4 linked regions of the Drosophila melanogaster genome follow. The protein of the gene in region 3 interacts with the protein of the main gene of each other region in a pairwise test. Each region holds a gene or a part of one and is shown on either strand. Other genes may lie near its edges. The genes, in order: prg, stai, drongo and fau.

Region 1 (6,448 bases), 7.6 Mb from region 3:
CATACACATAAATCGCCTGCGAAGTGACCCTTGGCAATGGCGAAGGTAATTGCGTACTTACCGCTCTCAGCGGAACCTGAACCTAACCAAAACCAAGCGAACCGTAAGGTGGATTCGTATTCCCTCGATTGCGTGCCCGTTTCGGGAATAGATTTATCGTCTCGTTTGAAATCCGCACTTTATTTATGGTAGCTTGGCCACATTTCTTTGCGGATCTCCCACTCCAATACTTATTATTTATTATTCTATCAAACGTTACGTTACACTGTCAGCACCAGCACAATTCACTACGCGCACTTCGAGGCGATTACGAGATTTCGAGGCGATCAAGATCCGAGAGCGCTGGTCGAGAGGCACTACCGTACGGGGCGAACTCAAGAAAGAATCTGCAGCGGTGCAGTTGCTCTGAAGATTTCGGAGAAGACCTTCTTCGTATCGGACAACGTGCAACTTGTTGCACGCAACATGTTGGTCTGAGACGACTGCTAATACAAAATGTTCAAATACCTTACTTGATATTTTATTTATATATTAAGTAAACCTACTTTAAATAGGTTTAACATAACTTAACTTTAAGAAGTTTTTTATAGAGCAGAAAACTTTCTTTAATATCTTATGAAAAATAATATCTTCACAAAGTCATACGATCTCGAAGAAAACCGTTTCAGATTTGGCCTTTTATTAAAAACCACTAAGCTACATTTTGGCAGACAATAGTCAGATGACTTAAACTATACAGATTCATTAACACCAATGGATTCTATGTTGACCTGAACGACTAAAACAGCCTTGACCTACAAAACTTTTCCGACCTATCAACTAAGCTTATTAAACATGTAAATATGTTGTTCTATTCCTCGGGACGAGTCTCGCTGTAGAAGCCCAGATTCATTGTGGGAATCATGTTGCTGTAGAACGACAGTTCCGCTGCCGAGGGACGCACTAGCTGGGGATCCTGAACTAGCGGAGCCGTCATAGCCACTGGAGCCTTTTCGGCCATTTTTAGGGGTAAAATAGCAGCCTCTTGAGCCCGCTGGGCCATCTTGTGCTGCAACTGATGGACTTTGAGGTGATTCTCCAGCTCAATTTGATGCAGGAAGCTAATGCAACAGATTCCGCACGTAAAGCTGGGACCATGAGCCTCTAGCTCATGGCGCTGCAGTTGCTCGCGTCGGTTGAAACCTTGATTACATGTCTTGCAGGCGAACAGCGAGTCCATGTGAAGAGCTTGATGGCGTTGCAGGTCCCTCTCCCGTTGGAAAGTTCGATCGCAGACATCACAGTGGTAATAGCGTGAGTTTTTGGTTTGTGCGGCAGCCTTTTGTTTAGCCTGCAACGCCTGCTGCTGCAGATCACCCTCCATCGGGGGAATTAGACCCATTTGCTGCTGCTGCTCCATGTCCCGCCTGGTATGGACTTGCTGGTGGGCTATTAGCTTATCCCTGCGCGAAAACGAGTAGGGACAGCGTCCACATTGGAAAGCCTTTACCTCTCCGTGCGAACGTGTGTGGCGCATCATTTCCACAGCCGTCTGGAAGGATCGCGGACACTGCTGGCAAACAAAGGGCTTGACACCGCTATGAATGCGCATGTGCTTGGTCAGATTTGTATTCCGCGAGAAACTCTTGGAGCAAACGTTGCATGTGAAGGGCCTCACGCCAGTGTGCACGATTGTGTGCTTTTTAAGATCGGAGCGGCGCACAAAACCCTTCCGACAGTGAGCACACACATACGGACGGTCCGGATCATGCAGTGTCTTTATGTGCGAAATCAAAGCAGGCCGGGTAACCAGCTTGATGTTGCAAAAGTTGCAGCAGTACGGTGCGTTGGGATCGTGTGCAGCCAGCTCGTGCTCTTGACACTCGGCGGGCAGAGTGAACCCAAGATCACAGTATTGACAGAGGAACGCTCGTTTTGGCCGTGCCTCCGTGGTGTTGGCGTTGTTGGCAACGGACTGTTGAGCCGCCATCTGGGCCGCATCCATGCCCAGTGGCATGTCGACGTCTTCGCCGTTCTGGCCATCTTCCTCGTCCTCCTCATCGTAGTCTTCCTCCTCCTCCTCATCATCGTCGTCATAGTTTTCGTACTCCCCATCGGAGCCGAGTGCGAATTCCTCTTCACTGCTCTCTGCCAGATTCTCTGGATCAACTTCCACAATAATGCAGCCCTCCTCGGGTACGAATACTCCGGGGTTGCCATTCAGGCCTGGACGGTGCTTCGGATGATCTTTAATCATCTCCTTCAGCTGCTCCTGCAGGGACTGTTCCCGCTCCTGCATTCCTTTTCGCAGCTCGAATGCCTCTTCGAGGATCTCCAGACACCTTGAGCAAATGAGCTCCGACAAACATTCGTTGCGATCGTACTGTAGGTGGAGAAGTTATTCATGCACTTTTTCCATGGATTATAAATGGCCCACTCACCTGAACGCTCCAGAGACTCTTGGAAACCTCTGCAATGGACACATCCTTGCAAAACTGCACGGTGTCATCGAAAATGTTTAGCGAGTTGGGATCCGTATTATGGTGGCACAGGCGACAAGTGCTCACATCCTGATCCTGGGTCATGCTGATATCCGATGTATGCATTCTTCAATCATATGCATTTAAGCCGGGATTGCAATAAATTATCCAATTGTTTAAGCAAACAAAAGCCACACCGGTAGCAAATAAAACGCGTTGGTCAATGGCCAATCTACCACGATAGTATCGATATGTCGCGAAATTAAACAACATGGTCCAATCGATTGTCGGAGGAAATCGATAAGCCGCTGCACAGTGGGTTACTTAATTGAATTATAGGAATTTTTGAATATTTGAAGTTTTTAAATTAAACAATTTTGTGTTTTATTAAAGTTCAGATTTGTACCTTTCCATTTTAAAATACTTTTACTAAAATTGTAACAAAGCCATATCTAATACGCAAAATAAACGTCAGCATCTTTGGTAGCAAAAACGAAACTACTTATGTGTAATTCTTTGGGGTTGAAGTTTGATGATGCTCAAATTCAATAAAACGCAGTTTCTTTCTACACATTAAAAATTTGTAAAGCTGTTTGCATAAAATATAAATTATAAGACTTATAAGGCTCGTGTCACACTTTTAAATCAGAAATGCACTTACGATTAAAGCAGTGGGCGGCAGGTACCTAATTGATGCGTACCTATGTAGGTACACGCCGTGAACACGCGAAGCGAGAGCTTTTTCAATTGCCCGCGGACTCTTGATTAAAGCGGAGGTATTTTTCGAGTGCCGGCACTCTTTCGGCGAAAGCGGATGATTGTTTAAAAATCTGTGCGTACGCGCGTATATTCCTTTAACTAATCGGGATTGATTGCTTGCGCGGTTATTGCTTAATTGCAGTGAGATTTTTGGTTCTATTGAAAGTGGCTAATGTTCGTTTAGTGGAATTTATTGCACTGCAGATGCTGCAAATTATACTAGAACACACACACACACATCGGCAAAACAACTGTTACGCCTACGCAGCAGCGGCAACAACAACAACAACAACAGCAGCAAGGGAATTAGCAGCAACAATTTTCCACCCATAGAGGGAAATAACTGTTCCGTGAGTTTATACAATTTGGGCTGTATTTGTTGTTTTCCACCCACGTACTTTTTGTCTTTATTATGCTCCTGCCGCTTCTCCTTCTTTCGCTCCTTTTCCCTACCCACCTCCCCTCTTCCACTTCTTTTCTCTCCCATGCGGTTAGTGTGTTATTCCCGTCCTTAAGGAATAAAAGCAACAGCAACCCCGTGTACATTTATTGTTCTCTCCCCCGATGCACGGAGAGAAATTTGATTTTGATGTGTAATCAGGTTCAATTTTATTATTTAGATTATATGCATAAAATGATGAACTGATTGGACCACATTGCTAAAGGAAACACAGGGTTTTTTTTTTACAATTTTGAATCAACTACTCCAAAAACATAAACACCGTATGAATGATGATCGCAAATTTCAATGGAATAGTTTTTTTTTTCTGTGTACCTATCATCCTGTTAACCCAAGCTTTGCCCTCGCACCCTGTAGTTCTCATGAGTGTTAAATTTTCTGCCACCAAGTCCCTGTTAATTTTTGGTTATTGGGATTCCTCACTTTTCACAGTTGCCGTTGCGCGTATGAAAATGAATTTGTGCATTTATAATTCATAAATAGGACTATAAAAAAGAGAATTTATAATTTCATGAATTTACCGAAATTGGGGTCTTTAAAATGCGTCTATTAGCCTATTTAGGTAGTGATTTGTAGTGAGTTAGTAGTGAGTAGAACGAAAGCACTCTAGCGTATGCACTATCTGCCCTAAAAAGTTTGAACATAAAGATAAAATATAATTGCTTAAGTGAAATAAGCGCAAAGATTGCATTCGAGCTTAATGGTCTGATTAAAGTCCCTAGAAGCAAATCTATATGATATCACCACACCGAATTAGTAAATATCCTTACCCTACGAGACTTCTGCTAACTTAATATTTACACTTGCATACAATTACCCCTAAACATAGGGAACATGCCATTTGCCGGCCACATGAGAGTGACTTCCAATTTTGTGTACAATGAAAAACAACTGAAGATTGCTGTCCTAAACATTCCACTCGGCAATTAAGTGCTCGGCAATGATCATTCGATGAGGAAAGTCCAATCAGCAGATCAAATGAATCGGTGCCGTGACTCAAGCTAGGTCTAGTTCTACAGCTTAGAATCACTCTCCCCGTTGACTTTGAACTTGACTTGAAACGCTGACGTTAAATTGACCTGAACGGCAATTGGTGGCTGTGGGGGAGGTCCAGACCTCATGTCCGGACTTAAGTTAATTTCCGCGGCCGCGTCACATGCGTAGCAACTGTGTAACAAAACCATGCCCATAGTTTCCCAGCGTGAAATCATGCCACAATCTTATCAGTAGCCTAAAGCTTATGCTGCCTGAATGAATCGATGTTCCGCTGTCGCACACCGAACGCTTCGCTGAGATTGTCGTGCGTCGAACTGATACTGATAATGGGTGTCAAACCATTTACCCCCTTCGCAATATTAAAAGCAGGCGATGACGGTGGACATTGTAAACAAAAAGTCAAACATGTGCAGTAGATAAATTGATTTTAGCACACTGTCAGAAATGTAAATTTAAAACTTAACCCGTATGAGTACAAAGTGTTTTTCTAAAATTTCTTCATTTGCAATCCAGTAACTTGTAGGCTGTAAAACCATGTCGGTAATTTTCTTGTCATTCAACCCTCTAGAATAATCACAGTAAAATCAATTCCACAAATGGAGCTGAATATTTCTCTTACAATAAATGTAGTTTCCCATATCATTGTTTATTTTTCGTTGTGTACCAAGAACCCAGTAAGCGCAGGGGTATAAACTACGATAAATACGTGGAAATATTATCGCAAAGCTCTTGTTTTCTGCAGAACTAATAACATAAGCCATTTATGACCAATTACTGAGCCGCAATATCGAAAATCTAATATTGCCGTGCAAATTAAGTACAAAGTTGGAAATTATAATATGCTTTCGGAGGAACATGTGACATTCACAAGCGTTACACAAAAAATCAATGAAAATCCAAGGAAAATGGCATAACCATTAGATCTCAGCGCTTGTAAAATCCCAAATAAGAAGACTTTACTCGTTGAGTTTTTGTAAGAAACTGATTTTATTTGGAAATATCTTCGGTTTAAATAGGTGACATGAGAATCGCATCTTAAAGTAAATGGCCTACGCAGAGGCCTAAGTAAATAGTCCCCGCCTTATCGAGGTCCCACGCTCGGGCACATCTGCCTATCTTGAGCGGCGAGGACCTTATCTGTGGTCTCCCACTAAGGGACTATTTTAGGAGGCGGGGAACGATCTCAAGTGACTGACTCATGTAGTGTGCACTTAAATTACATGTTTTTTGAGCAATGCACCCATGTCGCCTTAGATAACAAAATCCTAAATATAATTTATCGCTCTCGATTCATTTACATAAGATATGAACGGAGCCCAAAATTGTAAGTCTTTAAATATATTCGTGTTCATGTGTGAACATTCTGCCAAAGGGCCAGCAAGCTGAGATGTACATTAGTATATTAGTTGCATTTATAACAGTAGTGGACTGTATTTATTTGATATATGTTCATTTATTTTGCAACTAAGATTTCAATGGGCCTAGTTTTTCTGGCTTTTAATTTTATTGGATTACAATTATGGTTTATATTATTTTTAATTCATCAATTTGTACTCAATTAACTTATTTTAAACATTTTGCTTTTTCTATGTAGAAGTACATTTTCTATTAAACAACGATATAGTGGACTGTATATTTTTATTTGTTATATTATTTTATTGTTTATTTACTATTGATATTTATAGTACTGGCAACGGACCTGCAAAGGTTATTGCTTGCATTCTTTGTTGCACAGCACATTTCCGTATGAAATATATTATTAATACTATCATTA
Region 2 (8,300 bases), 5.3 Mb from region 3:
TTCTCCCATGACGGCGAGCAGATCTATGCGGGATACAAGCGCTGCATCAAGATCTTCGACACCAGCAGGTGAGTCGGCTGCTTATTTTCGTACGCTCATTTAATGCAACTCAAACTCTACTCCGTAGACCCGGACGTTTTTGCGACGATTACCCTGTCAAGTTTGCCATATCCTGCATTGCACAGACCACTGCGCACCCGCACACTCTAACCTGCGGCAACTGGCATGGCTACATCCAGCACTTTGACTTGCGGTGTAGCCACAAGCAGGGTCCTCTCTTCACGCTGGGAGGGCACAAGGGCGGCATCACACAACTGCGCTATGGAGAGTTTGGCAACGGGGAGTGGCATCTGTTCAGTGGAGCTCGCAAGTGCGATAAGATCTTGCAGTGGGACATGCGCAACTACAAGCAGCCACTGGTGGAGTTGCAGCGCCATGTGGACACCAATCAGCGTATTCAATTCGACCTCGCATCCGACAGCAATTGGCTGGCTAGCGGTGACACACGGGGATTCGTCAATGTTTGGGATCTCAAAAAATACGGAGATCCTTCCGTACTGCCCCTGCATTCAGACTGCTGCAACGGAGTGGCACTCAATCCGGCTATGCCGATTCTAGCCACCAGCTCGGGGCAGTTCCACTTTACAGACCAAAGTGCCCAAGGGGACAACGTGACCTTAAACGGAACGGAAACGACGGAGTTGCCGGCGCCGGCCGATGTGAATCAAAATCAGAAGGAAGTTCTCTACGAGAACGCAGTGGTCATGTGGTGGTGCGGCCAAACGGGATAGCATATAAAACTGGTGTAGTCGAGTAAATAATACAAAATCCGTCTTTATTCTTGAATCCATTTGGAAATACTAAAGCATCATGACCGGGTCCATACTGGTTGCCTTCACCTGCAAAGGATTTGCGAGAGTAAGTTGGCGTCGACTCAATGGCGATGGCTGTTAGGTGGAACACTTACCTAGAACCGTTTGAGGAACTCCTCGGCGCAGGTGCGTGCCCTGGCATTGACCGCCAGTTTCATTTCGCTGATCTCCTTGTCGATCTCCTCCATGAAGCTAATGACAAAGTCCACCAGTTTGTGCTTATACATCTGCTCCGTGTGGAAGTTGGTGATGAGGAAGCTTATGTCGTAGCCCTCGATGGGCTTGCGGCGCAGTATGACGAACGACTCGGCGCGTCGCATCATGAACCTGGTGAACTTGTGGCACAGTATGCGCTCAATCTCGTCGGCCTGCTTCACGGCGATGCTCACGCGCACCGAGTTAATGGACGGCTCGATCAGCACCTTCTCCCGCTCGTTGCGCGACACGACGACGGGCGTGAGCACCAGCTCCTTGCTGGAACAGATCTCCACCTCCGGCTTGTTGTGCCGCTCCACCACCTGCGAGGGGAAGTCCTGCAGGCACATCGCCGCCGTCAGCGAGTGTCGCACGGCGGTCAGGTAGGGCTTCAATGTGGCTGCCATTGTGTCTGGGTGTCGGGTTGTTGTCTGCTGCCTGCGGTTTGTTGTATCTGCACTTTTTACTTAACTTATTATGATTCACAGGCCCTGGAATTTATCAACCAGAAAAGATGTGACCATGCGCGGCTGGCAGGAAAATACCAATGCCGAGGTGGGGCCGCAAAAACATAGCAACTATTTGGAATTTGTTATGAAACAGTTTCTATTATATGTTTGGGAAGACTATGCATAAAGTTTATACAATCAATATTAAACATGTTGTTTTTAAACATTTATCAAATCGCACTTAAAACATTTCTTATGATGTCCTGTGTTAAGATGGTAAGAAACTTGACTATCAAGAACTTACCCGAGACCACAACCACTGTTCCATTTCCATTTGTATCTTATCTTTGTGGAATTTTTAGGAGTGAAACAATTTAAATCATACCTAAATTTTAAAAATTTAAGAAAAATGTATATGGCTAGAAGCGTTAAAATTTGAAATGGAAATATCAAATATATGTGTACCATATTAAAGTCCGAAAACCCAACACACCAGCAAAGAGGAAAAATGTTAATTTAGAAGAAAACAGCATCCACCAATTATAAATATTGCATTTATTTGTTTAATGCACTTTTATTATACAATTGTTATAAGTATTTTTGCTCGCATATGGTCAGTTATTTGTGGCTTATATGAACTTAAATTATGCGTGAACCTAGAAAGTGAGTATTTTAATCAATCGTTCAAAATTGTAACCCTTTCCTACTCTCAATACTCAAAAAATGTTTCGGCTGATTATTGCATTGGATTAGACATTAATATATCATAAATTGAGTAAATATCAAAGCATTTTATGCTTTGCGTTTATATTTTGTTCGTTTTTTCTTGAGTATGCTTGAAAGTTTTCGTGTCTGGGTAATTTGGTGTCCTGTGCGTGTTAAATTGTTTTGCCAATGCACATTTTTATTAAGAGATTTATGTTATTGATATTCATTTGTAGAAGCCATAGGTTTACACGAGTACACATACATATATAACGATATAAGATTTAAATTTAAGCTAATCTTTAAAGCGCCCTTTGGTGCAAAATTAAAAATAACTCGCAGGTTTTTGGAAAAAATTTTCCTAAATATTCCATTTGGTTTGCCCTAAATACTTTTTTTTTTTTTTATTATAACCCCCACATTCACTCTCCTCTTAAACCCATTTCTAAAAATAACCCGACGTTAGACAAAATATGCATTTCCATATAATATTACACACATTAATGTATGCTTATACGTAGTTTCCTTCCATTTATATTAATGTCTATATCAGCGTTTTTAGTGTTTGTGTTGTATGTAAATAAAGGAAAAATGCGTTTCGTGTGTTTTACATGGTATTTGATTTTATTGAATTGTATAAGCATTTCTTATGTATTTTTTCTGTTAGACATTTATTTTATAGATAGAAAATGCGAAACTTATAAGAACAAATTATTTGTTAGTGTAAAACTATATTCAGCATGTATATGTATCATGTTGTTGCAAGTTAGTAAATTAAAATTACCACTAAAGTATACATTAACTTAATTAAAAACATTTTCAAATTTTTACTCGCGAAAGCCATTCATAGATGCAAATACAGCGTGCTTATTATTTTGAGAATACCTCAGTCGATGCCACAGTAATTAAAAAAAAAAAAAAACTTGAACATTCAAGACTAAGACTTTGAAAATAATGAATCCAAAACGAATATAACATTCTTGGAACTCAAGGTAAAAAGTGTTTTAAACTTTCAACTGAAATCAACGTGAACTTTTAAAAGAATTTGAAATTTTAAATGACAGGCATGCATTCAACTTGCATAGGCTTTTCTGCCTGGGCTTTTAAGTTTAAATGTAGATTTCCTTTACTAATTTTTTTTTTGCATTAACTTGCCGTAAGCATTCATTTCTTTTCGCTTTATAGTAGCTTATTCGTGTTTCATTATAGAGCTCGTGAGAAAACTCGCTCAGCGGTATCTTGAGACTTTGCCCTTGCCCTTCGCTTCGTTTGCTTTCATAATACTTGGAAATTTTGAGAAATCGTTTTCAGTTTTAAGGGTTTTCTTGCTTAAATATGTGTTGGTGTATTATGCAGTGTTGCTGTTCTTTTTGTAGTCGCCTTGTAACCATGTTTGCAGTGGGTGAGCACAGCTCTCGATGCAGGATCGTTCTCCACTTAGCCTGAGGAGGCAATGGCGCTCTGCTGACCATCCAAATCCTGGGCCTGGGCCTTGTTCTGGCGCACGAGCTCAGCGCGACGTTCCTGAAAGAAAGGAAAGCAATCAAGGATTAATATTCGTTTGCGAATGGAGATGTGCAACTACTGCCAAGTGCTACTCAAACAATAGGGCAAATTGTCGCTTTCAGTGGGGGGGAACAACACGTACGAGTTTTTGAACTTTTTCAATTTTTTTTTGCAATTCCTTTTCGCGTTTCTGCTCGGCGGCGAACAATTTGTTCTCATAAATGCGCGCTTTCTCCTCGATCTTTTGACATTCCAATTGATCGTTCTGCGATTTGATTTCGGCAATTTTGATTGTGTTCTAAATGAGAGGATATAAGAGAAATGAAAAACCAAAATTATATGAACGCATGATAACTTATTTATAGTTCGTACACTCAATGACTAACTAAATGTTAACCAGTTTGCTAGTCCAGTCAAAATGATGTGTCATTTCAATTTTATATTCCAGCAATGAATGTAAGTTAATGTAATGTTTATAAAGTAATTGTTGAGACTTATGGGATCTTGGGTATTGAATATTATAATTACATACATCTAATCATAAACTAGATTTAATGAAAACTTTTGGCCATGCTATAGACTCACATGCTCCTTTAGGCGATCCAACATTTTCTTGATATTCTCATCGCGAAGAGACTGAGCAATCTTCAACTTTTCCTCGATTGCCTTCTGCTCGTTGGCCTTCTGCTGCTCAAGAGTCTCACGCGTCTTTTCGATATCCTGGGCATGGATCTTTCGTTAAACGGAAGAAAATACTTGGTTAGTTGGGAATATACTATGGGATGCAATAGGTTTGGTAGCCTACCTTTAGCTTCTCCTTCATGTCACTGATGATGGCCTCTCGCTTCTCCACATGCAGCTCCATTTTCGACTCCAGCTGCTCCTTGGTCTGAGTAATAAACTCATTGGTGATCTCATCCTTTTTGCGAGTCGCCTCCTCGACTTTAGCCAGCTTAGTGGAGATGTCAGCCATCTTCTTGGCTTCTAGAGACTGGGGAAACAAGATTTCACTTGCTTTACAACAACTTTAATTCTTTAATTTATGTACTTACAATGCGACGTTCCTCGGCCGCCTTAAGTTTCTGCTCAATCTCCTCGACGCTAACGTTCTTGCCAGGGGTGACCGGTCGTTTTGGAACGGCCACATTGGGTGCCGGTTCGGCCAGGATGACCTCATAGCTCAATCCCCCGCGGGACTTCTCCTGGCAGCGAATCTCTGTGGCTGTGGAGGAGGAAGGAAAGCAAAGGGAGACTTATAGTAATTCAATATTTTTGCACTTGGGGTGCATCGAATAGTTGCGGTTAAGGGTGAACCTCGTGGTTCAACCCTCGACTTGGCTTTCCCCCCATCAAAACAACATGACGTCATTTTTACACTTCCACCCCCTTAAAAACTAAACTTAAATGTTGTTCTTTTGGCCAATAAGTTAAACAATACGAATTTAGTGTTACATCGAAATATAATCACCTAAAATCGATATCTTGACATTCTCATTATCTAACTTGTAGACAAATCCATCAAATGGAATGCTGGACAACCAACGAAGCGAAAAATGATTTGTCAAAACAAAAATATGTATATGTATACAATCATTGAACAAGAGGGATAACGATACTTGAAGATGTTGCCACGACAGCCGACAGTGGACACCTTTTATATGTATCCATAACCATATTTTGACACATAATTTGCTATTATTATGGAGTGTCAATGGTGACAAAAGCTTTTAGGCAATCACAATGAGTGTGCATAGATTGTTTACCCAAAATGTTGCCATATCTCACCAATTCTGTTCTCCAAATCTTCCTGCCTCATCCTTTCCAGCATGACCGTCAACGCTGACGCATCCGCGGGATTCGAGTGCATCTCGGACAAGTGCAACTGCAACTCCTCGGCGCTAAATCTCTTCTTACAAAAAACGCAATTGTAGCTTTTTGAAGCATCGCCGTTTAGCAGCTTCTCGCCGCTGAAGAATTTGTCAAGAAAGGACCGATGGTAGATAATCTTAATGCGGCGGTCGTCCTTGTGCGTCTCAGTGTGCTGATTTCGGCCCTCATCAAAACACTGGCCGCAGTACATTACCTCAGATCCGCACTCACTGCAACCGTACCGTCGGTCAAAGTCAGCGCGAATTTGCCCGCAACCCTTACATTTGGTCGGTAAAGCAGAGAAATTGCAACCCATTTTAAATGATATGATCAAATGACTGATCGAAGTTCAATTTGGCGTCGTTACTGGGTTTATCGAAAAATGTTTAATGCTTTATTTATATTTTGTTCTCAGATGTCGGAGAAATGTTTTGCAATAACAAATAGAGACAACTGTAGACCGGAATAAAATGGAAAAGCGCTGCCTACTAGATGTGCAAATAAGATTTTGTAAATCATCTTCCACTAGCCAGAGAAATATCCGAGAAAAGCTTCCTATGAAATGGAAAAACCTGAGGAAACATCCAGATCGTTTGGTCATTTTCTTTTAGAAATGTTTATTTCAAAATACTACATATGCATATGTAATTATGAAAATACCGAGGCTTATTTCCTACAAATGCTGGGTGCCCCGCCTATTCGTCCTGGATGACCATATCTATGAAGTCGGTGATTTGAGAAATGGCTGACTCAGAGAAATCGGAATCCGAAGCTCCATCGTCCTCATCACCGTTTTCTTCCTCGCCGCTTTCCTTGTCCTCCTCCAATCCGGCTAAATCATCGCTGTTTCCTTCGCCATGCAAATCGCTGGCCATTTCTTCTGATGCATTACTTTCCAAATCATCCGATCCGGAATCCGCATATGGGATATCGCCCAAAACTGTGAAATAAGCCGAGCTGGTGGAAGCGGATGGGAGTTCAGTTGCCTTGCTTTCGGCAGTTGGTTCGGTCTGATAACCAATCCAAGTTTTGTACTCGGCGAGACCCCTGTAGAAGCGTTCCATCAATTCCTTGGTCTTAACAGGATACAGCAATAGTTTCCCATTTGATTTTACACTGCCTGATGGCTCGACTGCGTCCAACATGAAATTCGCAGTCCAGGGCAGTCCAATTGGCGGCTGGAACAGCTCTTCGTCTGCCAACATCGAACAGAACATTGCCTCGGTAAAGGTAGCTTTGAGCAATTTGCTTTCCCACTTTTGGCCATTTCCGCTCACCAATTTCGAGCACAAAAAGCGCTTATCCTTGAGTGGGGAAGTAATGACAGTTGACACCTTCTTGGTGGGCTGATCTCCTTGCGTCTTCGTTTGTGCCTTGGCTACCCCAGAGCTGGACCCCGCTTTTCCGCTCCTAGAAGACGAAGCCACCGCCGATTGAAGGGCTATCCCGATAGGCTCTCCAGTACGCCTAGCCGTCTGCCTGCGCACCATTGTTGTCGGCTGGTCAACCAAAACGGGCATGGCAGCACGCATACCCATAGCTAACGCTGTATTAGTACCAGGAGAGATTGCCTCAATGCGGGTCAGCCGATGTAGTGAGGATGATGAGGCGCCCAGACGCTGACGACGATCGGCCATGCTAGTCACAACCTGATCTTCGATGACGCGCACAAAAGACTCAATCGCCTCCATGTCCGGCACTCTGGAACTTCTGTGCTGCATAAGCACAGTTTCAGTCTGCTGCAGTATCTCATAGCAGCGTTCAGGAAAGTCGGCGGCAGTTGAATCCATATTGTCCAGCTGCACAACCATTAGGGCCAGGCTTAATGCGGAATCAAATACCTGCTCGGTCCGCTGTTCGCTTCGCGTGTTGCCACCGGCTACCGGTCGAACGCTTGCTAAATTGCGAGAACGAGTCGAGCGCGTTTGGCTAGAAGGTTGCGGTACTGGCACCTGTTGCTCCATTCCGTTGTCCGCTATATAGAGAGTATTGACCAACGACAAGTAGGCATCGTGGTCACGGTGGTCGCGATGCTCCTGCAGCAGGTGCATGAACAAATGGGCGGTAGAAAGGCCGCGAACATCGCACAGGGCACATTTGTAGCTCTGGGCCACTTTGTGATCACCGCAGAATGGCTCGCCGCCGAAGTACAGCTGGTACTCGGCATAGGCATAGTACACACTCATCGGATGGTAGTAGCGATGCTGAGGCGATGCCGGCAGATGGTTGGCATCGAAGCACTTGCCGCACAAAGTGTATTCCGCGCAGAACCTGCAGGTGTAGCGGCGGCCCTGGAAATCGGATATCTTGCAGTTCTCGCAGCGGTGGCCAAAGTGGCGCTCCGGCGGATTGCGCATCTGGTGGGCCATGGGTGCTTGAAGTGATTCTGGCAATGGAATTCGTGCACGGATGATATTATATACGAATTGTGCGCAGAGAATCGTCGTTGGTGAAGACTCAAAAGTTTGCTGAATTTTGTTTATGATATTAGAGAACCCTATTTAAAATTGAAATGTGAGCGGCCTCGCCAGTGTTTTTTATTCGTTTCAACAACTTACTCTTTTCACAACTTTTCACTTTCAACTGATGAACACCTTTACTCGACAAGAAAAATTATTTGACTAAACTTCTATTGAATATCGAACAAAAAAGTGAGACTGAAAGCTAAACTCCAAAAGGCGCTGCCAACTCGATTCTATCAACA
Region 3 (7,023 bases):
TTCACTTGCCCGTATGTACAAATGTACCTACAATACGACTTAATGGTTTTGAAAATTCAAATATGAAAGGTTTTTGATACCCCCTCTTGGTTTGGTAACAAATTGATATCAGAGATAGGAAGTTTGGTACTTTTAGAAGCATCAGATCAGTTTATCTAATAATTTCATATTATATATCAACTAATATGCCATATATGCCATATATATGTATTTTATGTGTGCTATAGCATGACTACAGTCATCGACTCCCAGACAGATAGAATCGCACAAACAACCAACGAATGACTGCAAACATACAATCGTGACCACAGAAATAGCTCAGCCGGGAAGATTGATAAAATATTTTAAATAAAAGTTTAAAAACATAATAAAAATGACTCAAACACTCCAAAACGAAGTCCAGGAAATCGCACATAATAAACTTGTTTTGAAAGATTAAGCGTATAAAAACACTTGTATATGTAATCAGTTTAGAAAAAATCACAGTTGACACAAGGAAAACAAATTACGGCATTTGATGGTAAAATTGTATTAAATAAAGTAAGCATTATGAAAGATGCTTACTAGAAGAAGTAAATCTATCTGAAATTTAAAGCAGAAATATAAGCACCTCCAATGTATAGCTAAACATTTTCACATCTAGCAATGGGTATTTCCATTTTTCGCCTGAACTCGCACTGATTCACATCCCCAAGTTATTTAATAATTGAATAATGCACTATTAAGCCGGCAACTTCGTATTCAAATGACCATTGCTGTGTGTAGTTAGTGTGTTGTGTGCGGTGGGAATGATGACGAAGCCTGAGAAAGTGGCTCACCATTGCTGCTCCGCTCTGCTCTGCTCAGCTCTGCTCCCAATGGCCGTTTGCTTTCGCCTTATCTAATCAACAAGTTTCTTGACTTTTATGAGCCAGCACAAGCTTTGAACCCTGCAAAAGCCAAAGAGTAAAATAAAACAAAAACAAAAAAAAAACAAAGCAACCGAAATGCGGTGTGGCAGCAGATGGCGGCGACTGCTGCTTGATTGAGGTGCAACAATTTGTCTGCAATTGGAGGCGCAACAGCAGCAGCAACTTCGGCCCAAAAATACAACCGAGTGTGGCTGGCAAAAGCCGTCGGACGGGTTTTCCTCCCCGCGCCACCGCGGACATTCCCATTCTGAAACCCACTACCATTGCCAGTTCCATTCTCATTCCTGAACCGCTTCCTCCATTAAGCGCTCCAAGTGACCGGCCGGTCTGCAGCGGATTCCAATATCCAAAGGCGGGCCGAACATGCACAGCCATTTCTTCGTGAGTCGGAGGAGTTGGTTTCATTTGGTATTCCCTGCACTCGCTCCCTTGTCGCAGTCGACGTTCCAGTCTCATTTTCAGCCAGGAAGTTCGTTGTCGCCTGCTGTCGCCCCTGCCACGCCCCCTTCCTCGGCCGAGTCCCCCATTTGCTGCAGTACCTTTCCACACCCCTTTTTGGCTACACCGGCAGAAACGTGGCACGTCGTTAGACTAGTAACTGAAAAACCGCAGAAGTATCCGACTAACAGGACCAATTGTTTGTTACAATTAACCATTAACCCTTTCTCGCAGTGCAATCGCTTGGTGTCCCCGGCATTTATGTGGCTTTTCATTTACATGCCAACATTTGTTTCCCTTGGCAGTTGGCAACAAGGTTTGAGGACTAAGGATTGAGGATTGAGCACCGCACACCGAAGACTGAGGAATGGGCAATGAGTCATCGAAACAAGAGTTGGGGACTGCAGAGTGCAGCAGGGCGAACGCATTGCAGTTGGCTACTTTTCAACCTGGTTCCGATGATAGAGATAACTCAGCGGAGAAACCCGCATGCTGTCCAATTGAGAGGCCACAATCTGGGGCACACGAATCGTGGGAGACTGGGCTTCTGGACCTGGGCCAAGCGGAAGTTTAAGAGCAATCATGTAATGTGCTTGATCCGGAAATGCGTAAATCAAATGAAATGCAGTGTCGGCGGAGTGGTAATACATATATGACCCCAATTTGGCCATAGTGCTCACAAATCAAAGCCAATTTGCCAAATTACTTAGAGGGGCAAAAATAAAAAATAAACTGAGGGGCGCCAAGGACACCCACAACTCAACCGCCAGGTGGGCGGCTCTCGAAAACGTCTCCCCACGGAAAAACACGAATAGAAAGCGACGCCGGCGAAGACAAAACAATTTCGTTCGCCGCGATGTCGCGCAATTGAAAGTTTTGTCTTCGATTTGCATTTGCATTCAAAAAGGAAAGGAAGCCAAATTGTGCGAAATTGTTCGAAATTGTTGGGGAATTGCTTTCGCTTTCACACACAATACGAAATAATAATGGGGGGCGGGATCGGACATTGCATCGATCGATCGCAAATTATCGGTCACTCCACTCGGGCACAGATCCCAAATGGACGTCAGGCGAGTTCAAATTGGCTGGGTTCAAGTCAAGATAACACGGGAGACCAAGAAAGGTCCACGGATCGACGTTGATAGCTCTCAATTTGCATTTCTATTTTTGGAAACACTCAAGGCAATATTTTATATGACTCCTAAACGCAGTGGGGGTAGCCCATTTGGCAGTTATCAGAATATGTATATAGGTAGCCAGCTTTTTGATAAAAAACATGTGTGAATTCAACCAAAAGCCATTCAAGAAAGCCATAACCATAAATGTCGTATATCTGGATTCTTCTTGTGGAAGATTTTAAGAGATTTGTCAGTTCATAACCCACCATCCTTATTCTACAAATCTCAAGCTAGATCAATCTGTGCATCGGAAATTGTTTGAAATATTTTCCAGAGGTATCTTGAATACCTGGTAAACTCAAAGAGACAACCAAAGAAATAACTAAAATATGAATAGCCAAGTTACAGTTACATTCTCATAACAAAGGTCACCTAGCAGGCGACTTATGCCTAATTCCTGGATCTACCCTACATTATCCCAGACTAGAAAACAACAACAAGAAGGCAAATACTTACAGGACTCCGGAGCAGCGGGTGCAGACAAAGGATCCGATGGTCATGTTCACGTAGGTTGGTCCTTTTTGGCCGCAGTCGAAGCACTGCCGATTGCTCCCCGTCCCGCTGGCCACTAGTTCCCGCAGGGCGAGCAGGTACTTGTCGTCCTGTTTCTTGCGCACCACCGCCATTGTCGCCGTCTCTGTCGCTCCCTTGGCCGCCGCCCTTTGTACCGCTTCCGGTACTACTGACGTCGACGTTGTCGTTGTTGTTGCTCCTGCTGCTGCGATGAGCGGCCTGACGGAGGGTCCGCTACCTGCGCGCTCCTCCTCGGATTCCTCCGCTTCCGCTTCGTGGCTCTGAGCCCGATCCTCGTCGGATCCAGCTAGCTGCTCGGTGTCCGAGGGCAGCCGCTCCTCGGGGGGCGGGAGTGGGTGGTGGTGGGTGGACCGCTCGGCCGCGTAGGGCGCAAAGGGGGCGACGGCGGTGCGGTAGGAGGAGGCGGCGTGGGGCGCGGAGCTGTTGTAAGCGTACACGAACTGAATCTTGCCTGATTTTTTGAATTCTTTCGGGAATTGGTATCGTTTACTTTCTGCTCCAAATTGACGTAAATTTCCGCTGTTATCGTTTTTTGCCTATCGTAATGGCTGGCTATCAGGATCGTTTAGGGAATCAAAAATTTTTATCGGGAATGCGAAACTGACGTAATTCCCCTTCCCCTCTTCTAAGCTTTCCTTTCCTTTTCTTTACGCAATTTTTGGCTTGACCTTTCCTCTCCTTCGACGCACACTCACACACTCACTTTGACACTCACACTGACAGGTGTGTGTGTGCGGTGCGATTTATCGAAAACCACTTTTCCGATTGCCCGTGTTATTGTTTACTTTTCACTTCTTCGACTCGCAGAATTTCGCTTCAATTCAATCTATTTACACCGAGTGCCGCTGCAATTGCCACACAGATTTCAGATTTCAATTGAAATTTCGACGCTGCGAATGCACTCGCCACTTTTGCTGCTTCCCCTTCTCCTTGTTTGTTTGCAGTGCGGATTCGAAGACGAGTGGAAAACGAACAGCGAAACGAAACGGAACGAAACCAAACAGCACAGCGCACTCGAAACAAAATAGCGCGACTCGACTCAACACAATTCCGACGCAAATTCCGACCGCTCGCCTACAACAACAGCAGCAGAGTGACCGTTGGCGGACGGGAGAAACATACCTCGTGTTGCCGCTGGAAATGCACTAAAATTGGACGGAGCTCTAAGACCTAAATATGCCGCAACTAAAGCACAGACACACACCGATTGAACCTAATTCGATAACTGTTATCGAAATTTAAAACTTTTTAAAAAACATATTACTATTTAAAATGTTGGGAAATATTTATTGAATGCAAGTCGACTAAAGATAATAATAATTCTACAATAGCTATGTTTAATCTAATATTAGTTAAACGCATCTCACTTTTTAATTGGTATAAGCAAACACTTAAAAACCTAAACATTTCCTATGCCTAAACCTAACTAGTAGGTGAAATATGCACATAAGCACATGGAGTACTTCTTAATCCTCGGCGCGCTGGCGGCTGTTTCCCTTCCTGATGAATTTCCGCTTGAACGTGGCGGGCGCAGTGGCGGCTATCTCCTCATCCAGACCGCCAATCGTCTTTTCCTTGAACTTCTTGACTGGAGGTTCTGGTTCACTCGAGGCGGAAACCACGGGCGCAGCACTGTAGTAATCCGTTTTGGGTAGCTGCCAGTCGATGGGCTGCTCAGGTGCTCTACAAAAATCCATAAATTTATCAGTAAATGCATTTGAACCTAGTAGGAAGGCCCTACTTCACTTCCACAGTTTGCCACTGTCCAATCTCTTTGGTGGCCGCCTCTTCCTCCGTTTTGAATGTCTGACGCCTCTCCTCCTTCTGCTTCTTTTCCTTGGGATTGTCCGTCCTGCGGAAGGCTTTCATCTTCTCTCGGTTCACCCTCGCCACTTCCTCGTCGACATTGGCGCGGAATTTCAGCGATTCCTCGGCCTGGGAGATCTGCTGCTGGTCGATGGCCAGCTGGTTGATGCGCTCGTACTCCTCGTAGGACAGATAGCCCTCTTTCGGCGGCTTCCACACGGATTCATTGGTCTTCACGTTCCAATAGTAGGTGTGTCCCTCGTCCGACTTGCCCTCCACCCAGAGGGATGCCTCGGGCACGGCTGCGTCGCTTGTTACCTTGCCGGGAGCCACCCGCCTCTGGTCTTCTTCTTCGTCGGACAATCCTTCCAGGCGCATGGGGTCCACTTGGCGTGATCTTCCGGCGAAGGAGTGAGCTCCGCCTGAGGCGGCAGCAGTGGCGGTGGCCCTCATTACCGTGTTAATGGACCTGGCGGTCATGTCACCGCGCGAATGGACATCCTGTGCGTACGACTTCATGGCCGCCTCCTCCATCTTGCGGATCTCCGCGTCCATTTTCTGGCGCTCCCGCTCCGATTTCTCGCTGTTGCGACTGATGTCCGTGATCCGCTTGGCCACATTCATCTTGTGCCGCTTGCCACTCTCGTGGAAGGCGACGCTCTGCGGGATTAGGGGTCATTAGAGTGCCGAAAAGCGAGTTTATTCTATGGACTCACCGCCTTGTTGTCGCTCAGCCAGCATTTGCAGAAGTCGCAGAACTTGCGCTCGTTTGATTTCCAGTACTCCGTCCTGTTGGAATCGAGAGTTAGCTATGGCAAAGCCGGAGGATAATAACGCAGACTTACATGATGATTTCTCAGCTTAATTGTTTCGAATACAAGTAATATTAAATTTTGTTTGCAATCGCAAATGAAAACAATGTGCGGGAGTTGCCACCCAGTCGCGAATGGAGCTGCACAATAGCTCCGTATCTGACTTTCTAGCCATTCCACCGCCAAACCGACATATCTGTCAATAGCTATTGACAATCGAATTCCGTTGATCGGCAAAACTTTGCGACTTTAGTTAGTCGCTTTTTGAGATTCCCCGAGGCAGGAGCTCGCCCGATCCGCGTCCAGCATTACGGAGCACCATTTGCGAGCAGCAATTAGCCATGGGCCAGACACGCGTGGCAGCAACAACAGCGGCGCAATCTCCCGCGGCGGAACTTTCGCCAGAGACAAGTGAGTAAACCGGAGGAGGAGGTCGTGGTCAGGTCACCGACTCGCACGCTCTGCGCACCTGAGTCCGAAGTTTCCGCTGGTTGCGCTTCACCTGGCCCGCGGGCGATTTCACCAGACGCAGACCATTTCGTCACAGCTTGCTTTGGTTTTAGTTGAATTACTTATGTGGATTCCCCCTGCTTTCAGATGGCCAGACGGAGGAGCCCCTGCAGCTGCTGGGCGAGGACAGCTGGGAGGAGTTCTCTATCGCGGTGCCCTGGGGAACCGTTGAGGGTGAGTCACCTGCCAGCCGTTTCCTAATCAACAGCATCGACCATTCATGGCAATCCGACGTGATTTTCGATGTGACGCGGCTAAAATATTTTGTTAGTTTCGACGCACTACAAGTGTTCTACTAACTGAGCCCAATAACGCTATCTCTTTGCTTGTTTTTTGAGTAATATTTTTTGGAAACATCACGCGATTCCCCTGAACGATTAACATACACGTGCTGAAACCAAGTTACATACATATGTACTAATCGATTTTCCCGCTTGCAGCCAAGTGGTGGGGCTCGAAGGAGAGGCAGCCCATCATCGCCCTGCACGGCTGGCAGGACAACTGCGGCAGCTTCGACAGGCTGTGCCCCCTGCTACCGGCGGACACCTCCATCCTGGCCATCGATCTGCCCGGGCACGGCAAGTCGTCGCACTATCCGATGGGCATGCAGTACTTCATCTTCTGGGACGGCATATGCCTGATTCGCCGGATAGTCCGCAAGTATAACTGGAAGAACGTCACTCTGCTGGGCCACTCGCTGGGCGGAGCTCTGACCTTCATGTACGCGGCCAGCTTTCCCACGGAGGTGGAGAAGCTGATCAACATCGATATCGCGGGTCCCACGGTGCGCGGCACCCAACGGATGGCGGAGGGCACTGGCAGGGCGCTGGACAA
Region 4 (8,853 bases), on a different chromosome or scaffold from region 3:
TGTCACCGCAAATCCTTACTGATGCAAGATGACTTTTACCTTTTGTTATTTAATTGTTTAAAGAATGCAATTTAATAACCATTTGCTATACATTTAAGATATCTAACCACATTTGTGAACAGAATACATAGTGCAGTAGTCTAACATTTACGTTTCGAAACAAAACTTACCAACATATTTCACTGCTGGCCTGGGGTAGTGCGAAATATTGTGAACTTCCTTGGCAATATGACGGACAGGATTTGTGACACGGGCCACATAGGCATCTAGGGCCAGTTGCGAGGCCGGCTCATAGGTGTAACTAAAAAACATATATACATATATATGCATATATTATATATAGCAGAAATATGCTTTATCTAACAATATCTACAGAACATAATTAAGGGAACATAATTTTTATTTTTAGCAAATCATATTTATCCGTCATATCATTGCACCGAAATTATGCAGGCCCACATGTCGTATGCACAATCTCGGCACAAAAATGAAGAGTGAAACGAATGCGATTATTTTCTATGCCAAGGGCCTTCTAGTTTCAAGAATGTGCGCCAAATTGTTGCAATGTACATATATAAACATAAATAATTGGTACCATGTAGGTGTTATTGTATCTATTTTTGGCTTCGAAAGTGTCCTCATTGGAATGGAATGTGCTCAGATGCCCATTAGGTGGTAATTACCCCTACTTACCCAGTGACGGGAAAGGGAGTGCAGCTACGTGCACGGCGCACCACGGGAGTGTGCAAGTCACGAATCAGAGATTGCGCGCGGTTGCGAATCCGGCTTGTTTCCTCGGAGAAGGTCTGTAATATCAATTCAATGTTAAAGGGGGTGGGGGCCAAATCGAAGGAAAAGAAGTCTAGAAGCGAGGGCCCAGAACAACACTACTCCTGGTTCTGTGTGTCTACGAAAGCAACGTGCTAAGTACGCTGGACCAACTTACGGTAAAGGGTTCGGTATTGAGGTAATTGGTCAGGGCGCGGGCACCGTAACCAGGCGGCAGCCTCTTCAGATAGGAGGGCACAGAGCGAACCGGGCTGGTGATGACCCTCACCGGCGAGGGGGTGATCCTCAGCGGCGACAGCGAACTGCGTGGGGCATACACCCGGGTGACCGTGGTCGGGCTGTAGGCGTAGGACGGCGTGTACGTGGTGTACGATGTCGGGATGTAGGTCGAAGTGTAGGTCGATGGCAAGTAGGAGGGGCTGTAGTAGGTCGATGGCGTGGTGTAGGAGTAGGTGGTGCGCTCCGGCGATGAAATCACTCGGGTCGTCGTGCGGACAACGCGAACAGGCGATGGTGAGTGTATGACGCGGGACACCACGCGGGCAGGCGAGGTTACCACGCGGATGGGCGAGGTCACCACCCGGGTTGCGCCGTAGACGCGGCGTGGCACCGAGTAGCTCGAGTAGATGGGGTAACTCGACTTGTACACCTATATGGCAATGGTTTCAACATTAAGACAACATCGAATATGCAAGGTTCGGTGATTATGATTTGATTAGCGGAATGAGAAAGCAGAGAAAATAAAAAAGAACATATAAGAACTAGAAACAGAAACGTAAACCATATGTTCGTGATCTCTCCATTTAGGCAGTTTTGTCTGCCTTATGATTATGGAAGTAGTCGATTTTACATCACAAAAATGATGATATATGAAATGATAATAAGTAAAGAATGCATCTTGAAAATGCTTACTACTTTCAGATTATTTAACGTGGGATCGTGGGATTTACCCAGAATAATTTCTATTTTGATTAAATGGATTCTCTAGTGCTTTAATCTAAATAAGACTATGATGTGAGGGCTTATTACTAACCGAATCTGTTTTTCCAGTGACGATGATGTGATGGATGTGATTGAACAGTGTGTGATATAAGTCAATAGAAAAGAATAGTAATAATCCATAGAAAGATGGATGATGACAAGCGATGTAGGCGATAAGGATGAAAACCAAATACTTACACGAGTTACTTTCTCGACCGAGGGGTACTGAAAGTAATACAAAATAGAGCAAGTCATGTTTTGGTTCAAAAGAGTTGACAACTCTCATATATTTCTTGACAGAAACGGTTTAGATTTCCTTATCCTAATTTGTGTCTTCAGTATGAATATCGTATCGACCTCTATATATGTTCATTTCAAGAAAATATAATGCTACGTTCATTTGAGATAAGACCGTGTTTATTTTATTGTATCACAAATATGTTTTAACATGACTTCTTGAAGGTTGCAAATACACACAGAAATTGTTGATCTTGTTCGGTTAATCTAGTCTATATGCGAAACTATTTGGGCATTAGTGGTGATTAGTCCAAGTCAAAACGAAAATACATCATCATTGAAAACTTCGTATACAAATATATATATATATATATGGGCACTCAAGGTTAGCGGGTTAAGTGGATTATTTGCAAAATGTATATATTTATATATATATATAAATTCAGAACAATGACGTATTAGTGGGCACCATAACATTCAAAGCCGTGGACAGCCAACGCCGATCCTTTGACGCTGTGCGTCTCCTACACGTGGTAGGAGAAGTGGCGGTACTTGGTGCCGCCGGGCAGGTTGCCGCTGGTGGTCGAAGAATAGCTGTAGCCACCGGGTCCGGCGCCAGTGGTGCTGGTCCGCTCTGTGCTGTAGTTGTACGAGCCGCCGGGACCGCTGCGCGACGTCTTCTCCACAGTCGACGTGTACGTGGAGCGCTCCGGGCGGTACGAGTGCGGGTTGCTCGAGTCGTAGCTGCTCTTCTCCACGGACGACTTCGAGGTGTACGAGTAGTCCGAGGAGGCCCGGCTGCGGTGCGAGCCCGGTCTGTCCGTGCACAGGTCTAAGCGTGGAGTCTATAAATTCCGATTTGATAGTGATATAGAGATAAGGTTTGGTTTGGTTTTGGTTTTGGTTTCTATTTCGGCATTGGCAGCACAAGCATCATAAAAGGATTAAACTTGCTCCTGCTGCTCCACGAACTGCTGTATGCAAATGGCCAAAGAACGCAAGGCGACTCAATTGGGGAAATTGAAACATGTTCGAACTGTTTTACTTTAGAGTTAAGAGCTTAATGCAACCATCTATGCACACAAATGCTATGAGTCTATGAATGAAACGTTAGATACATGGGTACACAGAGAAAAAAGCACTGACCGTTTGTAGTTGGAATCTCATTGAACAATTTCTATAGAGCGTACTGCTAAAATGGAAATATTTCGATTACAACGTATTCTGGATAGAATGTCTAAAAGTTCTACTTTTTCTCTGTGTAGAGTAAAAACTTGTTCAGTGTTTAGTGGGTTAACACAAGATTATATGGACTATGGCTAGACTATATGTAGGCCTATCATTATTTTGAATGCATTTTCAGTTTTTTTTTTGTCTGTTTTAGTTGGTTATGTGTCCTTAGATACGACTAGGTTCGTTCGACTAGGCTTCGATTGGGTTCGGGTTATCGGTTGGGTGAATAGGATGATGCTCCCCTAGTAGGAGTACTTGGTGACCATCGCGCCCGACCTCTCGTTGCGGTAGGTCTCCCGGCGAACTGGCAAGGACTCGGAGACGGCGCGATGGAGTCGCGGCAGCTGGGCGTCCAGACTGTCGCGGAAGGTGCGGCCGGCGGTATTGCCACCCGCCTCCACGGTGTCGATGTGCTGGCGCACCATGCCCAGGATCCGCGTCCGGTTCTTGTCCCGGGTGGAGACATACGGCTCAATGGGCTCGTAGGCCAGCTTGTAGTCGGGCTTGATGGAGGCCCGATTGATCGGATCGAGGATCGACCGCTGGCGCCGCTCGAGATCGGGACGCCGCACTCCGAAGGCGGTCACCGGATCCGAGATGAGCGACGGCCGCGGCACGAACGGAACTTTCTCCCAGTCAATTGGTGTTCTCTTCGTTCTCTGTAATGCCCAAAAGTCCACAATTTTGTTTTTAATTTCTGGGTCAGCCGGGGATTAAGCTGTGGCTCAGTGGTTAGGTGGTGCAGCGAACGGGGATCTCAACTGGGCGGTGCGGTGGGTCAAAGTCATATGTACGAGTATATACAGTACGCGGGCGGGGCATTTATATACAGCTTCGTTGGGGCAGTAGTTGAGTTTGGTATCAGATCGCAGTGCTGGGTGGGTCAAGCTGTATCCAATAACATCGAACATCCTTACATTATGACACAAGATGCATAGCTACACATGTGTCTGAACCCTAGGGTGGACCTGCATCTCTTTTGGTTTGCACAAGCCTTAAACAGATATTACGTATACGCAACGTTGCTTGCACAGTTGGGCTGCAGAAAGCTAGCCTACTTAACAGGTTTCTATTGAAGTGCAGTAATGAAAATTTAGATTTTGTTTTTCCAAACGGTCCACCCTAGTCTAAATACACATATGTATATATGCATATTGATACGACGTAGTGTGGTTGTGAGTAATGTGCAATGGGAGCATTAAGATGGAACACAAACAGCAAACGTATATATATTTACAGCAATTTAGCCAAGTTTATTTATCAATTAAGCCAGTTACCCTACATTCTAACCCTAAATACCAAAAATTAAATCTCAATAAAACGTATTTCATAGATACACATCAAAGTAGATTGCCGTTTTCATTCATCGAATCATCAAGTTATCACTATAAATTATAAACAGCGAGTGCTTTTCAAAATGTATATGCATGGCACACAGAAAGTGTCCAGACAAGATGGATCTCTTGGGGATTCGATGTACCTACATATATATCCTTGCTTTGGATTATCATCACATTGGACAGTCGAAAAAATGGGCATTTTCTTATGTTGTTCCCTCTAATTTTCGAATATTTTGCGTTATTTTGTTGTAGTTGCTTGCCATGGCATCGGTTTATTTGAATATATTATGGAAATCGGAAAGATATTTTTAGGACCAGCAAAGAGCGAAATGCGCGCGCATATAGTATTACACATACAAAAAGCAAATCCACGGCCCGTACAAAAACAAATTATCGAGAGAGCTGTGGCTCCGTATGAGTTTCATCGCGAATTCGCATGTGTTTGGAATTCCACTCGCCCATACATATGTATATATTCTAAACATTTTTGGGCACCAGACCATTAGACCACCAGACCAGACGGACCTCAGCATTTTGTAAATAATAATAAAATATAGAGATAGAGAAGAAAATGTTCGGCCTCCGCTAAATTCTTAGTTCCCAAAATGTATTTAGCGTGTTATATTTGGGAGGTGAGTAAACACGTATATCCGAAAGAGATATGAAGATCATTGCACAGCAATAAATTTGCTGAAGATTCAATTCCCACGATCGCGCGAAAATTGCAATCTTTTCACACTCGCATCGTTTTGTCAGAATATTTTGTCACATATTTATTATTTCGGTCTGGTTTAATTATGGTTAGACGACTGTGCAGGCACATAACTCAGATATACATATGTAGTATTCAGTGTAGTACGAGTACACCACAACCATTGTGTGAGAGTTATTAAATTGTTAGAAATAGGCTTATGTATGAATTACTACACAAATGTTTACACTGAACCTGAAAATGCTATATATGTACAACATGGGCAGAACGTCTAGGTGATCATTAAATATAATATCTCTGAGCACAAGGACATTCCGTTGCGAAAGACCAGCTAGTTAGGTACTGTAAGTTCGATACGATATTCATAATTGGTAGACACTTTACATTCAAACGTGTTTCAATTTCTCAAGTAATCTGCTCGCTTCTCAGAATGATACCATTGAGTACAGCAAGTGGGACACAAGCGCTTAAAACTGAATTCTTGTGACTACAGATTCGATTAGCCATTAGCTAAGTGCTAACAGCAAATAGTTAACTGCTTTCAAATTTGTCAAATTTATCCTCAGCGTTTTTTGCAATCACAGGTTAGTTTATTCTTGAACTGCTTAAGTTTCGAGTTTGGCAACTGTACGCACAGATATATTTCACAGATTTAAATCGAGGAAAACCACACTACCGTATGTCAAGTAAAGTTCAGATTCTATTTCGAAGGGCTTACCGTAACTGCGTAGGAAGTTGTCACCGGCCTCGAGGAGTAGGTTCTGCGGGTCGTAAATCCACTTTCGTAAACCATGTTGAGATTTTTAGATTTGGATGCTTTGAGAGTTTTCAAATAGAATTGTTCGTTGGATTTTGGTTCGGATATATCGTCGTTGCGTGTTGTTCACTTGACGCCCGTTCGAGTTGATCTGCCTGAGAATCGCACGGAGCACTTGCTTATAATTTTTTGATTTTCAAAATTTTCACAGCCTTCGATCCCGCTCTCTCTCGCACGTTCGGTCCATACCTCTTTCTCTATCCATCTCCCAAATGAACTTATTTTTGGAATTAAGAAACATTGACATCTCTCCTCGCAAAAGAGCGAGCGAATTCTGTTTACATAAAGCCAGCACTTTTCATACAGTTGCGTTCGGAAAAGCCTATATACACATGAAATGTACCGAGTCTAGTGCTCCCAGGATATAGAGCCCTTATCTGCGAAAACAGACGTCACGGATTTCTTCCAGAACTTTATAGATAAGATTAGAATCTGTATTTAGCATGGGATATGACTCGAATTGATGATGATGGCATCTGAAGATGGAGGAAAGGCTAATATTTGGCATAGGCTAAATATGGGTCGATAAACATCAAAACATTCGGCGGATTATTTATTTATAAATCTGCCACAAGAATTTCTCAATATAATGAGCAATTATTGATTATGGTAATTTCAATATTTTTACATTTAATTGGCATTTAGCAGTATGATTACATGTAGACATTAATAATGTTTATAGCTTAATTCGTATTCCCATCATTCAAAATATCAGCATTCAAAGCATCACCGTTGTTTAAAGATTGATTAGCCAAAACTGATATGAATGAGCTTGGCATTTTTTGAAACAAATAAGGCGTGAAATTAAAATCCTGAGAGCAATTTATGGTCAGTGGGTATCACCTGTGGACCGGACACAGAGCTTTCCACACAAATAGCTGGATATAAATTATTAAGAAAATACAAAAATGAAAATAAGATAAAAATAAATGTTGTTTTCCAACAGTTTGAGGCCAGATTACTCATACCATCTTACAATAAGATCGGAAACATGTATTCGTGAACATATAAATAAACTGCACATCATCCTATACCCACATTTTAAATCGGGTGTGTAGGTGTTTGCTTGTATATAAACAAAACCATGGCAGAAATTCAAAAAAACCAAATTCTTTATGACATTAACCTTAACGAGAGGCAATGAATGATTCGTAATTTCAAGGCTGCCGAAGTCAGCCTAATCGGCGAACAAAAATGTCATTGAGCACTGACTTGGAATTTAGTGTTTGCTTTGTATTAATTAGGTGTTAATAGACATTGAAAAATTAGCAGAAAATAAATTGGCGAAAAGGATTCAATATAGCGAACAAATCTTCTTTGATTAAATGAAAAAGGTGGCACAACATTTCTGCAACATGTTGATTTTCATAAATCTATAAAGAGGTATTACTTTAGGTCTGCAACTTGAAAAGGTTTACTAATTGTCCATAAAAGTATTCGTGTCTGACATAATTCATTCATTATTTTAATATGAGGTGATATATGGAGGTCATTGTCTGGCGACCCTGACGATGTTGAATCTTTAGATCTGTAAGATCTTTAAGAGATTATTTTTGAAACTATGCATCTAAAAAATATGAATGTAAAAGACCTTATTCAAACGAATTTAGTATTAATATTTCTTGATATGCTTATTTAATGTTTAATATTACGATAACTTACAAAAATTTATTCAGCAATATACGTTTAGCTTATAAATATCAATGTAAGAGCCCATATATTTAGGCCCGTTTGAATATATATACGATATAAAACGAGCGGCAAGATGTCAGTGACTTAATACCAGAAATCTCTTGGTCGGATGCCCCTCATAATGATGCAAGTGGCGCAGGTGCAAACACTTCCATGTGTCTCCGTTCCCAAGTCGCGATTTTGATCCATTGGAGTACATAGATATACGACTTTTGGTTTCAGATGCATGGCTGCTCAATTTATCCGCCCAGCCAGCGTGGTTGTTTGTTGGCGTCTTCGCCACTTTTTTTTTTGTGTCTGCGATAATTTTGTTAAATAATTGAGTATGCAATGAAAATTGCGCATTACAGCGACATAAGTACGATGAATGGTCTTTCATTGGGGGGGGGTTGTTTACTGTGCTTGTATGGGGACATAAGTGCCTATATGGTTACAAACACCTGTTCATTCGTTTTGCTAGAATGCGTTTCTTTCCTCACTTTTTCCCAAATACTCGCATAAACGGCATTCAAATCCGCACGCTGCTTGACATTTTGTAATTTGAACAAATTGCTTGCATTTTTAGGCAACTCCTATAAATAGTGGAGTTGCTGCTGCTGGAAATATTAGTTTGGAGCAGAGCGAACGACACGTTGGAGCCACGAGCCAAAAACCCCAAAGGACTATTACTAATTTACAAAAAAAAAAAAAGAAACCCAAAAGGATACCCTCTTAAAAGAGCACAATGAACCGAAATTACATTGTCATACTGCAGCTGCTGGGAGTGTTGGTTGTGCTGACCTACGCCAGTGCAATCCCCAAATACGAAGATAGCCATAAGTAAGTCAATTCTAGTACCCCATATACGATACTCATTTGGAATGGCTTCAGGTTCTATGCGGATAAGGCGCAGCGGGATAGGTCGTACTTTAATGAAAACAAGACCCAGCCTAGTGAACCGCAGACAGCTTCCACGAAGGATAGACTGGAACGACTGGGCTATACCACTGGCTACGGATCCCTAAATGTGCGTAAACTACATCAGAACCTCCAAACCGTGGGCTAAACTACTA

The links.
Region 1: the proteins of drongo (region 3) and prg interact in a two-hybrid assay, tested with the Drosophila melanogaster proteins (one large-scale study listed by BioGRID).
Region 2: the proteins of drongo (region 3) and stai interact in a two-hybrid assay, tested with the Drosophila melanogaster proteins (one large-scale study listed by BioGRID).
Region 4: the proteins of drongo (region 3) and fau interact in a two-hybrid assay, tested with the Drosophila melanogaster proteins (one large-scale study listed by BioGRID).

Annotation. Positions count from the first base shown.
Region 1 is NT_033779.5:8,460,747-8,467,194, reverse strand, and holds prg (piragua), read right to left. Parts: upstream 2,708-6,448; 5' UTR 2,586-2,707; coding exon 2,421-2,585; intron 2,363-2,420; coding exon 851-2,362; 3' UTR 501-850; downstream 1-500. UniProt on the Drosophila melanogaster protein: May be involved in transcriptional regulation. The function of this protein is unclear.
Region 2 is NT_033779.5:6,118,423-6,126,722, reverse strand, and holds stai (stathmin), read right to left. Parts: upstream 6,050-8,300; 5' UTR 5,913-6,049; coding exon 5,513-5,912; intron 4,950-5,512; coding exon 4,780-4,949; intron 4,719-4,779; coding exon 4,533-4,718; intron 4,460-4,532; coding exon 4,313-4,459; intron 4,026-4,312; coding exon 3,870-4,025; intron 3,746-3,869; coding exon 3,659-3,745; 3' UTR 2,070-3,658; downstream 1-2,069. Other genes in the region: WDR79 (WD repeat domain 79), read left to right, coding at 1-68, 128-791; Arpc4 (Actin-related protein 2/3 complex, subunit 4), read right to left, coding at 968-1,474; CG31642 (uncharacterized protein), read right to left, coding at 6,292-7,965.
Region 3 is NT_033779.5:846,916-853,938, forward strand, and holds the start of drongo (drongo), read right to left. Parts: upstream 4,157-7,023; 5' UTR 3,154-4,156; coding exon 2,984-3,153; intron 1-2,983. Other genes in the region: CG4291 (uncharacterized protein), read right to left, coding at 4,528-4,744, 4,803-5,527, 5,584-5,656, 5,713-5,714; kraken, read left to right, coding at 6,021-6,090, 6,277-6,363, 6,630-7,023.
Region 4 is NT_033777.3:10,771,167-10,780,019, forward strand, and holds fau (fau), read right to left. Parts: upstream 6,209-8,853; 5' UTR 6,086-6,208; coding exon 6,011-6,085; intron 3,900-6,010; coding exon of another isoform or gene 3,483-3,899; exon of another isoform or gene 2,853-3,482; coding exon 2,532-2,852; 3' UTR 2,031-2,531; downstream 1-2,030. Other genes in the region: CG45076 (uncharacterized protein), read right to left, coding at 171-301, 694-806, 947-1,438, 1,969-1,995, 6,011-6,085; CG45078 (uncharacterized protein), read right to left, coding at 3,483-3,899, 6,011-6,085; Desi (desiccate), read left to right, coding at 8,526-8,620, 8,672-8,807. UniProt on the Drosophila melanogaster protein: Plays an important role in the regulation of tissue responsiveness to oxygen deprivation.